4 linked regions of the Arabidopsis thaliana genome follow. The protein of the gene in region 4 interacts with the protein of the main gene of each other region in a pairwise test. Each region holds a gene or a part of one and is shown on either strand. Other genes may lie near its edges.

The links.
Region 1: the proteins of AT3G10590 (region 4) and LBD32 interact in a two-hybrid assay, tested with the Arabidopsis thaliana proteins (one large-scale study listed by BioGRID).
Region 2: the proteins of AT3G10590 (region 4) and EIL2 interact in a two-hybrid assay, tested with the Arabidopsis thaliana proteins (one large-scale study listed by BioGRID).
Region 3: the proteins of AT3G10590 (region 4) and HB20 interact in a two-hybrid assay, tested with the Arabidopsis thaliana proteins (one large-scale study listed by BioGRID).

The regions. Positions count from the first base shown.
Region 1 is NC_003075.7:11,931,311-11,934,456, reverse strand, and holds LBD32 (LOB domain-containing protein 32), read right to left. Parts: upstream 1,161-3,146; 5' UTR 1,157-1,160; coding exon 578-1,156; 3' UTR 571-577; downstream 1-570. Other genes in the region: CYP706A1 (cytochrome P450, family 706, subfamily A, polypeptide 1), read right to left, coding at 2,937-3,146.
Region 2 is NC_003076.8:7,180,595-7,184,849, reverse strand, and holds EIL2 (ETHYLENE-INSENSITIVE3-like 2), read right to left. Parts: upstream 2,262-4,255; 5' UTR 2,243-2,261; coding exon 665-2,242; 3' UTR 508-664; downstream 1-507. UniProt on the Arabidopsis thaliana protein: Probable transcription factor acting as a positive regulator in the ethylene response pathway. Could bind the primary ethylene response element present in the ETHYLENE-RESPONSE-FACTOR1 promoter.
Region 3 is NC_003074.8:71,253-76,040, reverse strand, and holds HB20 (homeobox protein 20), read right to left. Parts: upstream 2,735-4,788; 5' UTR 2,443-2,734; coding exon 2,304-2,442; intron 2,228-2,303; coding exon 1,842-2,227; intron 1,082-1,841; coding exon 746-1,081; 3' UTR 502-745; downstream 1-501. Other genes in the region: AT3G01210 (RNA-binding (RRM/RBD/RNP motifs) family protein), read right to left, coding at 2,882-3,340, 3,415-3,513, 3,584-3,659, 3,744-3,859; RP2 (PPDK regulatory protein 2), read left to right, coding at 4,693-4,788. UniProt on the Arabidopsis thaliana protein: Probable transcription factor.
Region 4 is NC_003074.8:3,309,689-3,313,038, forward strand, and holds AT3G10590 (Duplicated homeodomain-like superfamily protein), read right to left. Parts: upstream 1,640-3,350; 5' UTR 1,624-1,639; coding exon 1,268-1,623; intron 1,001-1,267; coding exon 736-1,000; 3' UTR 520-735; downstream 1-519. Other genes in the region: AT3G10595 (Duplicated homeodomain-like superfamily protein), read right to left, coding at 2,217-2,499, 2,859-3,127.

The sequences.
Region 1 (3,146 bases), on a different chromosome or scaffold from region 4:
GATAATAACATATATAATTTGATAGGAAATACAACGCCAATATTGACCAAGTCGCCCCCAGTGTTGAAGTCCCATTCAAATATTGTCTAAAGAGAAAAGAAAAAATAAAAATAAAAAATGAGCCAAAAGCTTTTTGTGTATGGACGACAGAGCACTCCTCGTCGGACTGTCGGAGAATTGTATTTCTTCTCATATCCAATTTTTAAACAGTAGAAAAACATGATGTTTTTAAGTGTTACAAACTTTAGAATTATTTCGGAGTTACCAATCAAGAATATACAAACATCTTCAAATCCTATAATATAGATTACTATTTGCAAAAAACTATGGAAATTAAATATGGAAATGCTGTTAATAAATCTTTATAAACTGGTCAAATTATGTTTTTTTTTTCTTAAAAACTTTGTGATATATTAAACTTAAGACATTACAAACTGTAGAATTATAAAAAGGAAAAACAGAGAAGAGAAACACAGAATTATTATGGAGACTCGAGTTTAAAAGAAATTCACGGAAAAGACATAATTAAAATTATTTTTGGTTTTGATTTTCAGAAAATGGAAGTATCTCTTCAATATCACTTACCAGCAGATGTTGATGCACCATCAGCTCTATGCCCATCTTTCAGGTTTTTATCTTCCATCTTCCCAAATATGCTATTCATTATCATTGGTGCATTATCAGCAGCAGTTGGGAGTTGCATAAGTTGATTCTTTTGAACTTCGTTTAAACTCTTAATTTTTGCAATAAAAGAATCTAAAGAGACTGGTGTCATGAGGAAATCATCTGGCATTGGAAGATCATAAAATTTTGGTACTTGATCGTGTCCCACATAGGTTCCAAGCTCATTCACCGCGGATTCAATATCTTGTTCAACATTATTGAGAATATTCTTGTATTGTAGAATCATGTCATGACAACCAGAAATAGGATTACGTATACGAGCCTCAGCAGCATAACGTAAACAGTTGGCAGCAATCTCTCGTTGTTCTGGAAATTCAAGATTATCAAGGATATTGCAAACATTCACGGCTCCAAAAATCTGAATAATAACTTTGAAACTTGCATCGTTTGATGGAAAATGTGGTGCATAAATGCACATTGGAGCACAAGTTTCATTCAAAATTTTGCAGACAGCACAACGGTTGGAAGCCATTCTTCTTTGTTTTATTTTCTCTCTTAACCCCTAAATAAAAAAATTGTATGAGAAAAAAAAATTATCAATACACTTTTAAATATATGCATATTTGATTTATATTAACAAAATTAAGAAAAATATCTTCAAGATATATAAAAATTTCTACATATTTAAATTATATATCATAAATAATACCACTAAAATTTATATTTTCACCATTGCTTGTGATGAGTAAAAAATCTACGTAAAACTACATAGATATATATATAATTTAAATATTCAATAAATCTTCCTAACTTAAGCGATTAGAAGTTCTTATAGAAATCGTACAAACATAACAATATCATATCAATGTAACATAAGAGAACAAATTCTCACGAAAGATCTCATAGTCGAATATTTATAAAATCATTTTTTGTTTTTTATGTAGCAATGAAAAGTGTATAAAATGGATGTAATAAAACATGAGTGGTATATATGAAAAACTATTATAAGTTAATGACAAATAAAAAAAACTTCATTTTAAACGTTAGATCAAGATGGTGAGATCATGCAATACCTTGCTCCAATGTAAGAAAATGTAGTAAATATAAATGATGCATAGAATAACAAAATGAGTCATAGTTTTATAGGCATGTCTCAAAACATATTTAAATTGCCATATCAATAATTTTAGGTAAGATAGCAATGTTCAATAAATATCGAAAATTTGACTTATTTATTTATGATGAAGAGTTATTGTTTGACTGCGCAATACTTGTTTAGGAAAGATAATAACATTATTTACTATAATTATTATTTTCCCAAATTATCATGACTAATGTCTAATAAAGGGGTGTTATTCGTTTATGATTTCAAAAGAATTTAAGTGATTTAAACTGTTATGTAAAATTTGTTGTTATTTAATCAAGACTTTTTAAAAGTATGTTAAAATTTTGTGTTATTCATTTAAGATTTGTAAAAAATAATTTAAAATCTTCATAAATTTTGGGTTATTAGATTTATACACTTATAAAGTCATTAAAAGTTTTGTGTTATTCAATTAAAACAAAAGAATCTTTGATTGTTAATAATTTAAATTATTATGTTATTGGTTCATGACTTTCTACATTTTTCTTCTTAAAATGAAGTCATGAAAAATCATTGAAAAGTATTATCAAAATAGAGAGATTGTTTGAAAAACTTTACAAAATTATGAAAAACTAATCAACAAGATTATAAAAAAGTCTCTAACAATCGTTTAAAATCTTTCATTTTTTTACTTTCTAGTATTTGATTGAAGTCATCAAAATTCCTTATAAATTAGGAACCAATTACACCCCCTAAATATCAAAAATTTGACTTATTTATTTACAGATAGATGAAAGTAAATAACTGTTTAAGTGTACACAGTATTTATATTTTTTGTAATGTATAATAGCGTCTTTTACGGTATTTTTTTTTTTCCAATTACCATGCATTAGATATGTCAAATTCTGAAGTTTTGAGTACCAGTTGATCGTTAATGTTTACATATCCAAAACTTCTGTGGTTCTTAAGCCCATACACTGTATGTGTAATTTTGTTGCCAAGAATTTTATAGCTTATGGTATCGACTTTGGACACCAAAATAATGCGTTATTATATATTGTGACTAAAACTTTATTTTATTATATATAAGAAAATTAAATTTAACTTGACACATCTTTTTTTACAAAGCATCAAACTCCAAACACGAATAAAGAAAAATAAACTTTAAACAAGAAAACTCAATTCAACTTCCTCTCATAAGCTCAAACCAAATTTCCTTCTTACTTACTTAAGCTGTATAGAGTTTTGGATCGGACAACCTTGGAACAGGAATAGCCACAAGTGGAGACTTCAACTTAAGAACAAGACCAAACTTCTCTTCAACCTCAAACTTCTGTCCTTGAGGTGCTTTCCAATCAAAAGAGTGAAGAAGTGAAGCAATGTTGAACAGAACAAGTCTCTCAGCCATGTTAATCGCCGCACAAATCCTCCTTCCTGA
Region 2 (4,255 bases), on a different chromosome or scaffold from region 4:
ATTTATATTTCTTGTAAACTCTTTATAATATAAGTATTTGATTTGCCGAAAAAGGTATAGTTTTATATAGTAAGGTCTTCACATAGTTTTATTTTATGAATTTAATATGCGAAATATCATTTAAATATTTCTGAAATTATTCATATTAACTTTAAAATAGCATATCGTCAAACTTAGTTTATTTGATTTTTCAATTTGAGATTTATATAGAAATACATCTTTTAACCATTAATCTCTTTTAAAGGCACAAAATTAATTTAACACATAAAAAATCTGTTATTTATAGAAAACAATTCCCTATAAAAAGACATAATAAAAAGACATAAATAAAAATATTATCATACCAACAAAGTTTAAATTATTTAATATTAAAAATGTCTACAAACGCCTTCTTCCTTGAAGCCCAAGGCGAACACAAATACACACCTCTAAAGTCTAAACAAATAAAGCATTTTCTACTGTTCTTTTGTCAAAAAGAGAGGCTCTTCAAATCACATAATGAATTACTTTGAATTTGGTTATTAACTTATTATGAAACCTAATCTTCTCCATTGCTACATGGGCTATGAAATGGAGAGATCAAAAACTGTGTTTAATGAGAGAATAAGCAAGAGACAAAGCTATAAAGACTAGAAAACATAAAAAGAAAACTCTGAAGCTTTCTTTACTGAATCCAAGATGTGGGCAACTCTTGCCCTTGATTATGCAGATTGTTCTCTGTTCCTACTGTTTCCTCACCTCCATTGAAGTCAGTAGGTAAGACTAAACCAAGATTCTGATTCAGCGTCGAAGGAGAAGGATTCAAATCCTCAACCAAGTCATCGTTGCCTCTTTGTGGAGCTTTTGGTCTGTAGAGATCGTTGGGATGATTAAACTGGTCTTGAAAGCTCTGAACCTGCTGCTGCATCCCGTTATAATCCGGACAAGGAACCATTAAACCCGTCATACCATAGGGTTTAGTTGGTTGGTAGAAGGAAGTGACTTTATAAGGACAAGTCATTTGGTGATTCTCTCTTAAGTTCCTGTCAAGAAATCCCATATGTGGTTGGCTATAAGGACAGAGACTGTTCTCACATGTTAGGAGTGTTGGATGCATTGGCATCCCAAAATCTTCTTCAAACTTTCTCTTGTAAACACAGTTGTAGTTGTTTTCAAATTCAGGATACTGCTGATTGGTCCGATGAGTGCCACCAATCAGTTCAACATCATAGTCTGTAGATTCAGGAAACAAAACATCTGGGTCTCCACCGGTTGCAGGAACAAGAAAGTTAGAAGTGTTGTTGTTTTCTCTAGACATGGCTATTTGATCAACAATAGCCTTTTCTCGGTAAAGAGCAGCGAGCCATAAAGCGCCTTCTCTTGACGTCATTTTCTCCTGCAAACTTCTAGACCGTCTCACGAGATTGGGTATGTTGCTAATGTCAGAAGCCATATGTCTGATTACACCAATCAAAACACCAATTTTCCACAGCTTCTTGAGATCATGAGGCTTCTTGTAAGGTGGCGGAACACCTCGAAAATCAACGGGTAAAGACAGTTGATCCCACCAATCTTCTTTCCCCGTTGGCCACCATGGCGGTGTCACGCCTTTCTCCAACGGAAACCGCCTCTGAGGAGGGTTGCAGTGAGGAAACAGAGCCGATAACAGAGCTCCAAGAGTAGTATCTTGAAGCTCAAGCAACTTCTGTGCGGTAGAATCCCCAACCTCAGACCCTGAATCACTTCCATCAGAAAGATTGATATCCCTTTGGTGCTTGATTATAGCAGCTGGGCCGTTCCTATCAAACCTCACTTTGTCTTTCCACCATTCACGGAGATTATCAGAAGATCCCGCTACCGTTTTCCCATTCTCTAACACAATCCCATAAACAAAACCTTGAGCTTTATATCGCTCCATTGTCTTCGACATGTACTTCAAGATCCCATCTTGTGCCTTGTACATGGTTCTCTTACTAGAGTGCTCTGGAAAATCATCATGTTGCTGCTTCAACAACAATCTTGTTCCTAGACCGTTCTTCGCCATTTCCTTGAGCCGCTTTAAACGCTGCTTGTCTCTCCAGATCTTCTTCTCAAGCTCCTCTATTTCCATTTCCTCATCACTACTCAGATCATCGCACAAAGCCGTATGCGAATCAGAACACATATGTCCCTCTGTAAATGGAGGCGCCGAGCTACAAACTAAACTCCGGAACATCCCTATATTGTTGTTATACATATCCATAGAATCTGCAAATAATGTCATCAACTATGATTCACTTTAAGAATAAAATTGCATAATCATCGTCATTTAGTAATGCCGTATTTATCAAAATCTAAATTAAAACTCTCTAGCAATAACATAACACAAAAGAAAAAAACAGAGACTTTTAGTGAAAGATCGAGAGATCTAACTTGTGAAATAAGATTCATCATATGAATAACACAAAGATTTAGAGATCCAAATTCCATTAGTTATTACTCCCAAGGGATTGAATAAATACTATAGGAAAACTACTACCAAAGAGATTAAGTACATAATATAGGAGAAATATTTAGAGAAGGTAAAAGAAAATCACAAACAAGATTAATGGTTTATCATCAAATGATTATACAGTAAAAGCATCGATCTTTTTCTTTCTTTTGATTCTTATCAAAGCATATAACGACAAAACAATCCAGTCCGTATTACTACTGAAATACTTGATCTTGCAAAAGTGAAAATGGAACCCATCGGACAAAATATCAGATAGACCAAACCCAACAAGTCAAAAAACAATATTTGCAAGCAGACAATATACGTAAAAGCAAAACAAAACAAAAACAAAAATAAAGAGAAATCGAAGGAAGAAGAGAATATACCCAGAAAACTCTTGAGACCTTTGTGTTGCTTCGGCCACCAAATTCAAACCAAAGAAGCTATTGGGACCTTCAGAGAGAGAGAAGAGATAGAGACATGTATGTATGTATGTTTGTGTATCTATATATATTATGAGCATTAAATAAGAAGAGACTGCGAAAGGGTGGTGATAATAGGCCTGTAAAAACCATGCTAAACGACACATTTCTTTGTGTAAGGATATGGTAAAAATTTCTTATTTATCTCCTTTGAGTTTCATTCCATTTCTAGTTCAGATTCTTTATTTAAATATATAGTCACTTCTTTTAAAAAAAAGAAAAATTAACATGCCCATAAAATGGTTATTTCTGCCTAAATTATTTTTTGTTTGATAGCCTAAAATTATTAATATCAATATAAAAAATATAATCATGTCTACTATAAGAAAAATATCAAATGTAGATGTATGCTTAAGCGGGAAAAATATAACCCCTAAACATAAAGCGAGTATTTTTGAAAACAAATAGGAATCAAGTACCAAATATAGACATTTTCTAAGGCACGTAAATTTACTATTTTAATGGTATAAAATCGTAGCATGTAATTTTTTTTTTATAAAATATTTAAATAATAGCTTTAAATTAATTGGTGCGTATGTTTGAATTTTAAAATTTGTTAATGCATTTAATTTCATGGGGAGCTGTATCTAAATATATCGGTCTAGATAAACAAATAGTAAAACAGTAAGTAGTTCCGTACGATCTATTTATACTTTAAAAAAAACAAAATACAACCTATTTATACTAATTTACTTGTATTAGTTTTATCAATTAGTTTTTACAATGGAATTTAAATGAGATTCTTGTAGTTCTACCAAGTCCTGAATACTAAAAACTTATCATGCCCAAAGACTTACAAAATAATTACTCTCTTTGTATCAAAATAAAAACGTTTAAATTTTTCCATATTAAGAAATTAATGATTTTCTTTATTTTACTAAATCAAAAGATATTTTATGATTTATCTAATCACAGTCCAACCAATAAAAATAAAGTAAAAAATGCACATTGTCATAAAATATATAGAAATTATTACATTTTGCTTTGAAAATGTAAACAAATCACATAATATGATATAGAAAAAAATATCATAGTTTTAAATACAAAAGCTGGCAGAGTATGAAAGAAAAGGGAAAAAATGTTGCCAGTACTCACTAATTAATTCTGATACATATATGATAATGCTAAAAAAACAAAATTATTGAAGAATTCCTTAAAATAGCTCAGAATTGTGGCGCTTTCAATTTCTTACAAAATACCAAATTTCCATGATTTTTGTTTAAACATTTAAAAGCATACAATTTGACATTCTTTAGAATAGAATAAAAATACTTAGTTTACCATTTTTGTTTTTGCATTATATTAGTATATGCTAGATATA
Region 3 (4,788 bases), 3.2 Mb from region 4:
AGAATAGATATGTCTATGTAGATGAAGTGAACGTGAATACTGTATTTGGTATTACATGCAACTACGTGACGCATGGCATAGTTTTTTTTTTTTTTTATAATAAAAAGTTAATGGTTCCATTAATCCATTAAGATTTAAATTGCAACTTGCAAAGATAAAATCATAAAATATAAAATATATATTAAAATAATCTTTGCATATAATATTAGTCATGGATCATGTTATGTCAAAGACAGAGCTGGAATCCCACTCGAAGTCACATGCATATGAATCTTTCTCACTTTTATATCCTTACTTTCTTAATAAATTTGTACCAACCCATCATATATATATAAAATTGGACATATAAGTTGAGAAAAATCATGATTTTTAATCTCACTCAATTGGTTAGAGGAGAGTTTTGTTCGGGAAGTAAAAGAGAGTGGTTATGCTTTTTTGAACCATTTACATATATTGTAAACTGTGATCAATCCACATACATCTAACAATGTTACGGCCGAATGCAAAGAACTTTATGATTTTTATTAAATTAAAGCAACAACAAATTTTCGCACTATACACCAATGCTCTACAAACCCAAAGAAAACAAAATGCTCCATTAATTTAAATTGAAATGAGTAGCAATAACATAATTCCAAAGAGAAGAATTGTGTCTTGATCTTCTCCTGATGATATGATGATGATGATTATGATCATTTGTCTTGATGCGTGCTGATGACTTTTTTTTGAGCTTTAGAATCATGAATCAGTTGAACTGGTGGTGGTGGTGGTTGTGGTTTGGGTCAGACCATGCCCAGTAACCAGCCGGCGTCGTTTCATCAATGCCATTAAACATGTTACAAAGGCTTTCTTCTTGAACTATTTCATGATTCTGATGATGATCATCATCATGTGCAGATGATCGAATCGATGAAGGGAATAGGTCTTTGATCGTGTTCACATGTGTTGTAATGGTCTCTCTAGGCATCTCCAGATTGATGTCTGAACTATTCTCTGTGCTTCCGTTGTTGCTCCATGAAGCTTCTGCTTCTCTCTTTACTATGTTTCCTTCATTACATTCTTTGTTCTTTAAAGCCATTACCTTTAACCATCATCACACACAATTCAAATGTTAAGTTTTAGAAATTCAGATATTAAAAATTATCATTTCTATATATCATTAAAATAAACATAATTATATATAATTTAAATTAACAAAATATTTTTAAAATGACTAATAACTTAAAATAGATAAACTGTAAGACTATATATGTAAATTATATATTTACATATACTTAGCTTAAGTAATTTTTGAAAATCTTGTAACTATTACATTTCAATAAGTAGTAAAATCATTTAAAACACACAAAAATGATATGATATAAAAATCAGTATTCTTGTCAAATTTGGTTAGCGCACACATGCCATTACTTGATAGTCATATGGGAATGTATTAATTAAATTGTAAATATTGATCAAGAATCCTTTTTATTAATAAACAAAACACCTACTGTCTTTTGACAAACATCTTATAGTGTTGGATCATGTGCCTAACAATAATCTATTGCATTTCGTATTAAACGACTTTAATACACACAAGATACATACATATATATATATATATACACTGATATATATACACATATATATATACTACATAAATAGTACCAATCCAAGCCAATAATCAGAAAAATATTTGTAGTCCTAGATTTATTTTACGTTGGTTATTACTATTAGTGCAAAACCAAAAATAAAAAAACCAAAGAAAAAAACAAACACAATCAAATTAGAAATGAAAGTTGAATTAAACACCTTATTTACTATATAAACACACATATATACTTACTTATATAGATACATACCTCAGCAAGGAGTTTCTTGTTATAGGCAAGTAGAGAAGCATTGTCGGATTTAAGAGACTCAAACTGTTTCTTGAGTGAATCATAATCTCTCTCGAGCTGTCTAGTCTTCCACCTAGCTCTCCTGTTTTGAAACCAAATCGCGATCTGTCTTGGTTGCATCCCTAATGCTTTAGCTAGTTGTATCTTCCTCTCTGGCTCCAGCTTGTTACCAAGCTCAAAGCTCTTCTCTAATGCCTTAACTTGCTCTAATTGCAGCCTCTTCTTCTTCTCTCCCAGCATAGTATGTGCCCCATCGTCTGATAGATTCTCCTCATCCAAGGTTTGATTATGATCTTCTTGCACGTTCATTAAAGACATAGATCTGTTCATCATGTAGTTTCCTCCTCCTATATACACCAACAGAATTCATGACTCAAATCTATTTATGTGGAGAAATAGTGAGAGAAAGAGAGAGTATAGTACCATTGAAGAGATGAGGAGGACAAGAAGGGAGCTGATCTTGACTGTTGTCTTCATGAAGTTGTTGGAACATAAAACCATGTTGAGGAAACGCCATCTCTAATCTCAATCCAGCTTCTGTTGTTGGATCAAACACATACATGTATGTATTCCACCAAAAACCTATCAGTGATTAATGGATTGTGAAATCAGTATAGTGATGATCAAATATACTTTGTTGTTTGCAGATTTGGAAATCACTATCAAATGAGTTAGGTGTTTCTTGTGGATCTCATCAACCTCTCATATAAGAGAAAGAGAGAGAAAGAATGAGGAAAGGATCAAGCTAGGGAGGTTTCTAGGACCCATCCTTAATATTTTAAAAGCTTTAGGCTTATTATTATATTTCATATATATTCTCCAGTTCATGTAATAAAGTTATTTTATAGTTTCTGCCTCAAATATTTTCGATCATGTAACGTTACTAATCATATCTTCATGATGGTTTTTTTTTTCTTTTTCTTTTCACAACACCTTTTATGCTTTAAAACCTCACATATCATTTATTTATGTTTTCCAAGGAAGCCCAAAGACTTTTTACATCAATTGCTTCCTCCTCCACCGATATGGGCCGCTGCTTTTGCAGCCCGGCCCAAAGCATCTGAGAACCATAAAGCCCCATTAGCAAAGTAACGACTGTTGACCACACTAGTCGCTGCAGCTGCAGCCACTTTCCCTGTAATGGTGGCTGCGGCTACAGCAGCTGTGCCCGTGACAAGAACCGCGGATTTAGTGAAATCCGAGAAATGATACTTCTCGTCCGCTGATCTCACGAGTTCCATACTCGACTGAATGTTCTGTGTGAGGCCAAGGTAATGGCTGATCTCTGCCAATTTGGTCGCTACCAAGCTTGAAAATCTCTGAGACTCATCCAAAGCTTTGGCTTTACCAATCGCGTCTTTGCTTAAAACGTAGCCTTTAGCTAACATCGTCTGCACAACTTGTTGAGCCACGGTTATGGCCTCTCCAGGCGATGAAGCAAACGCGTCTGAACGAGTCACCTACAAAGAAACATTTTCGAGAATCTTTGGCTTATAACCTAAAGTAACCTAGTAAGTATTGTTTTTAATGTTACCGTAACACTATAGTCTTCTTCTTGTCTGAGATTGTTAGATTCATGTAAATAGACACCGTAGACCGATATCCAAACGGTTTGATCAACGATCGTAGCTCCCTGAAGATCAACATTAAAATCAATGCCAAGAAGATCATACTGGAAATTTCTAGCTAATTAAGGGACTTACGCTAAGTAACACAGCCATATCCAGAGCATACGCATCTCTGAAGGTTACATAAGCCGTTAATGCATCCCCTTGGCACCTGAAATCCATGGAGACATGAAACAAAATATAAACAGATTCAAGAATGATTAATAATTTACTGAACAATGAACGTTGTTGTTACCCGGTGATTTCAACGAGCTCGACGATACCACAGTGAGAGAAGAACCTATGAACATCTTTCTCAGTGGCTTGAGGAGACAAGTTGGTGACTTGAGCAACGTAACCACAAGGATACATTATATTGTTCTGTTTTCTCACACGAACCTAGATACCTAAATCAAAGAACAAACATAAACAAGATTCTTGAATCACATTCCGTGAACCGTTGAGCGATTTTCTAGAGATTTATACAGCAAGAAATCTACAAAGCTACGATTACTATAATGATTCAAATAAAAAAAATAAAAAAGGTGTCCAGGCCAAATAGTTAGCGGAGAGGGAAGAAAGAAGAAGTAAGAACCCTAGATTATAATTGAATGAGATAAGAGATGAAAGTAACAGTAACAAAGATAATCAATGAGATATGTATCAACCAACCACACAATCGGAAACTTCGAGAAGCAGGGCACGAAAAAAAACTGATAGTGTATGTTCTGTTTTAGATTACCCGATTAAGGCACAATAGAACAGGACGTCACAGGATTGAAGCCAAGTATCGAAAGAGACGGAGAGAAAAGAAGACAAGATTCGTGTGATTGTGAGAGAGAAAGAGGATTCTTCAAATTTAAACAAAAAAAGAAAGAAGAGGAATGTTAACATTTAAACCAAAAAAGAAAGAAGAGGAATGTTCACATAATTTTTTTTCTTTTGTCGGCTCGATCGATATCGATGTTGTGGTCGACGATACGCGTCAAACGTAAGCTCTAGCGATGCGCGTGTTATTATTGTTTCCACGAGTCTTTTGGGCACTTTTTACTTAGGCTTTTTAAAGCCCAAATATCTGTTTTCAAGCCCAAGTAATTAGTGAGGACATTTTCGTCAATTTTTCATCGGAACGCAATTTAGCGGTTAACGCCTTAACCGTCGCTCAGAAAAAAAAAAAAAAAAAAGTTATCATAAACTTTGGCGATATGAATTTACACGGCGTCTCGGGCCATCACGAGCCTAATTCCGAACCTCCAATTCCGACAGGTTCGTCGAGTCCGAAGCTGAAGATTAGTCCCAAA
Region 4 (3,350 bases):
TAATAAAAGAAACCCGAGTTATTTTATTTCGTTCTTAACCACCATATTATATATATCAAACTCAGAACTCAGAAGCTGTCTTTCTTTTTATTAAACGTGTTTATACGTCTGTTTAATTATCACAGAAAAAAATAAAATAAAAAGATGAAAACTTTCAGTACAAGAAAGAGTTCTAAGTACGTATGACTGACTTCTTTATGAATTTTCTTTCTTTTAAACGTGTTTACGCGCGGCCTTTATCACAGAAATAAATATTCTATTTTTTTTGAATTTAAAGAAAGAAAGAAAAGATTACTTTTCAGTTCAAGAAAGAATTCAAAGTATATATCTTCTTATAAAATTTTGGTCTTATTATGCTTCCAAGTTCCATGTAAATTAAATATACTGAAAGACAAACGGTTTGACTAAATATTGATCATTTAATTAGTGATCATATTCACTTACTTTATATATAATATAATATCTTGGCTTTTTTAATGTTTTGAAACTATTTAAAATAAAAACTAACATATACTTGATAGAATCATTAATTATCCTATACACTTGAACATCATCAAGTGAAACTGATATTTTTGTATACCGAAACTACGTAGCAATCCTATACATATGCAGAAAACAAGCGAAGTTCCTTTTTTATTATATTAAATCTATATATATATATATATATATTATCTATTTTTGAGTTCAAGTTCCGTTGCTTGTTTCATTTCACACCATTCTTCTATCTTCCAACATCTAAACTCCAAGACAAGTGCCTTGACCTTGGGACGGATCATCATCATCCGGAGGGTTCTGATTTCCAGAATCTGGATTGCCCTCGGTAGACTCCAAAGTTATGTCAAAAATACTCCGGCGTTTCTCCTTCTTATTGTCCGATTTTTGCCTTTTGTAATACTGTGCATGGCTTGACACTTGCCGTGGAGTCTTTGTCTTCACAAAATTCGTTGATGTCAACGTCGAAGCTCCTTCCCCATACTTTTTCAATCCTTGCAGAAACAATCTGAAATATATCATTAAACAATCAAAATCATAAGAATTAATAACCTAGATATTATCATAATCAGCATCATCATGTTAAAATTAATATAAATCAAATTGATAATTACATCTATCTGAAGAAAAATACTTGTATACGTTACCCTAATCAACAAAACCCAAACTAATCATTTTTTGTGAGATTTGAACTGTTAACTTATACTTTTCCTCAAGATTTAAGACTTTTCCTCAATCAAAAGAAACCCTAATTCATAAGTATTTGATGACTAACCTGTGTTCCTCTTCTGTCCAAGGATTTGGCGTATCCTTCTTCCTGCGTTTGGACTGACTCGATTCCGCCAGTGGTACGTACTCGGGCATCTGATTAACATCGTTGGCCATCTTTTCGTACATGTACTTCATCTCCTCCATTTCCATAGGTTTCTGCAGATGCTGGGTGACATTCTCTAAAGGTTTCGGCAGATAAACATCGTTGACCAACTTTTCGTAGTAGTACTTCACCTCCTCCAAAGGTTTCGGCAGATGCTGGGCGACATTCACCAAACGCTTGTTATCCGGAGGGAATTGCGACAGAGCTGACTTAAAACGCCTGTTGTCGTCCTCCGTCCAGCGTGGACTCGAAGCCATAGTATCCGAGAAAATGAGAAAAAAAAAAAGAGATGGCTAAAAATTCAAGAAACAAGAAGATCGTTTTGTGGAATATGTTACGGAAGAGCGATTGTTTGTTCGTTTTAATTTTGGCAACCTGACAATTTATAGAGGATCAAGTAATGGGTGAAAATTACAAAATTAGCCCTCACTTTACAAAAAGAAACACGATTTCGTATTTAAACACGCACAACTTGACTCAGAAGTTTTCTTCTCGTTTACGTTTAGACGTACGCAGTGGGTAAAACTTGGAGTGTAATTTCAAGTTATTTTAGTTTCCTATTTAACCCCAACTTTATATATACTACGTACTTAACTTGAAAGCTCCATCTTACGTGTATCTTCTGTTTAGCCTAGATGAAATAAAGCAAAAAATAAAAACATTGAAATATATATTATTTTAATGGTTAAAGAAAATAATATAGATGACCACAAAATTAAATAAAATATGGTTTGCCAAAAAAATGGAAATCCCAAATCTTTAACATACCACACAAAAAAAATAATCAAGGGCCTTCAATATCTTTAGGCTTTTTATTTTTTGGTTGTTAATACAGTCATAGAGATTTATATCACTTTGAGTTGGGGGCCTTAGCATGGTGACCGATTTCCAGAGCGACGAGACTCTCTTGTTGGCCTGTTGAGTCCACATTGGTGTTATTTGCTCCCTGCCGTTTCATCACATTCACATCGGTGCTTGCCACATTTAAGTCGTTAATCACATTTTTCTTTGAGCTTTGCCACTGGTAAAAGTTTTCTGCATATATCTCGACTTGGATCGGGCTCTTGCAATCCAATAAGACGGCTATTTTACGCCAATCTTTCCCAAATCGGTCTAACCCAATCAGAAACCATCTGCATTACAATTTCCACCAGTTCATAGATCAGCCCATTTTAATCAAGTTTCACCATGGCATTATTAGTTAACGATATAAATTGAGTCAAATGAAAAAAAAAAAAAAACTATATTGTCCACATTAAAAAAATAATGCTAGAATGTGTAAATCGTAAGATCATAGGACTAAATACATTTTAATCTCAGAAATGAACTATGTGAATTATGGAGTCTAAGAGGAGAATGCGTCTAGCTAGATCCACAAACCAATACCAGTACTAATCAATCATTATGTTTATAATTGAAACTTATACGTGTATGTAAATTCCACTAACTAACAAAAATCATAACTCATCACTCATTAATCTTATATACTTACTCATGTGTTTCTTTGGTCCATATAGTTCTCTCGGCCTGGTACGAACTTTGAGCCATATCCTTAGTCAATTCATTAGGAAAAGCTACTCGACTGGATCCCATCTCTAAAAGATCATTGACCAATTCCTTGTAATGCTCCTTAACATCATCCACCGATCTATCCACATACTCGGCGACACTCTCAAACCGAGTAAGCAAAAAGGCAGTGAACATCACCAGTGCATCCTTGAACATCTCGTTCTCCTCTGTCGTCCATGAATTTTCAGCCATGATTCCCAAAACAAATTAAGGAAAATGAAGTCTACAAAACAGAATGGTGTGAATCTGGAGAACTACAGTATATATAATAACTCATGTAAGGGATATGGCAGCTTATAAATCAACTCAAGTAACAAAAAATATATGGCTTCTCTTCTCTCAAATTGGGGTGTATTAAGTTTCCTTCCTTTTTCTTATATTCAAAGGGTAAATTTTATTTCAGATTTTGCTATAT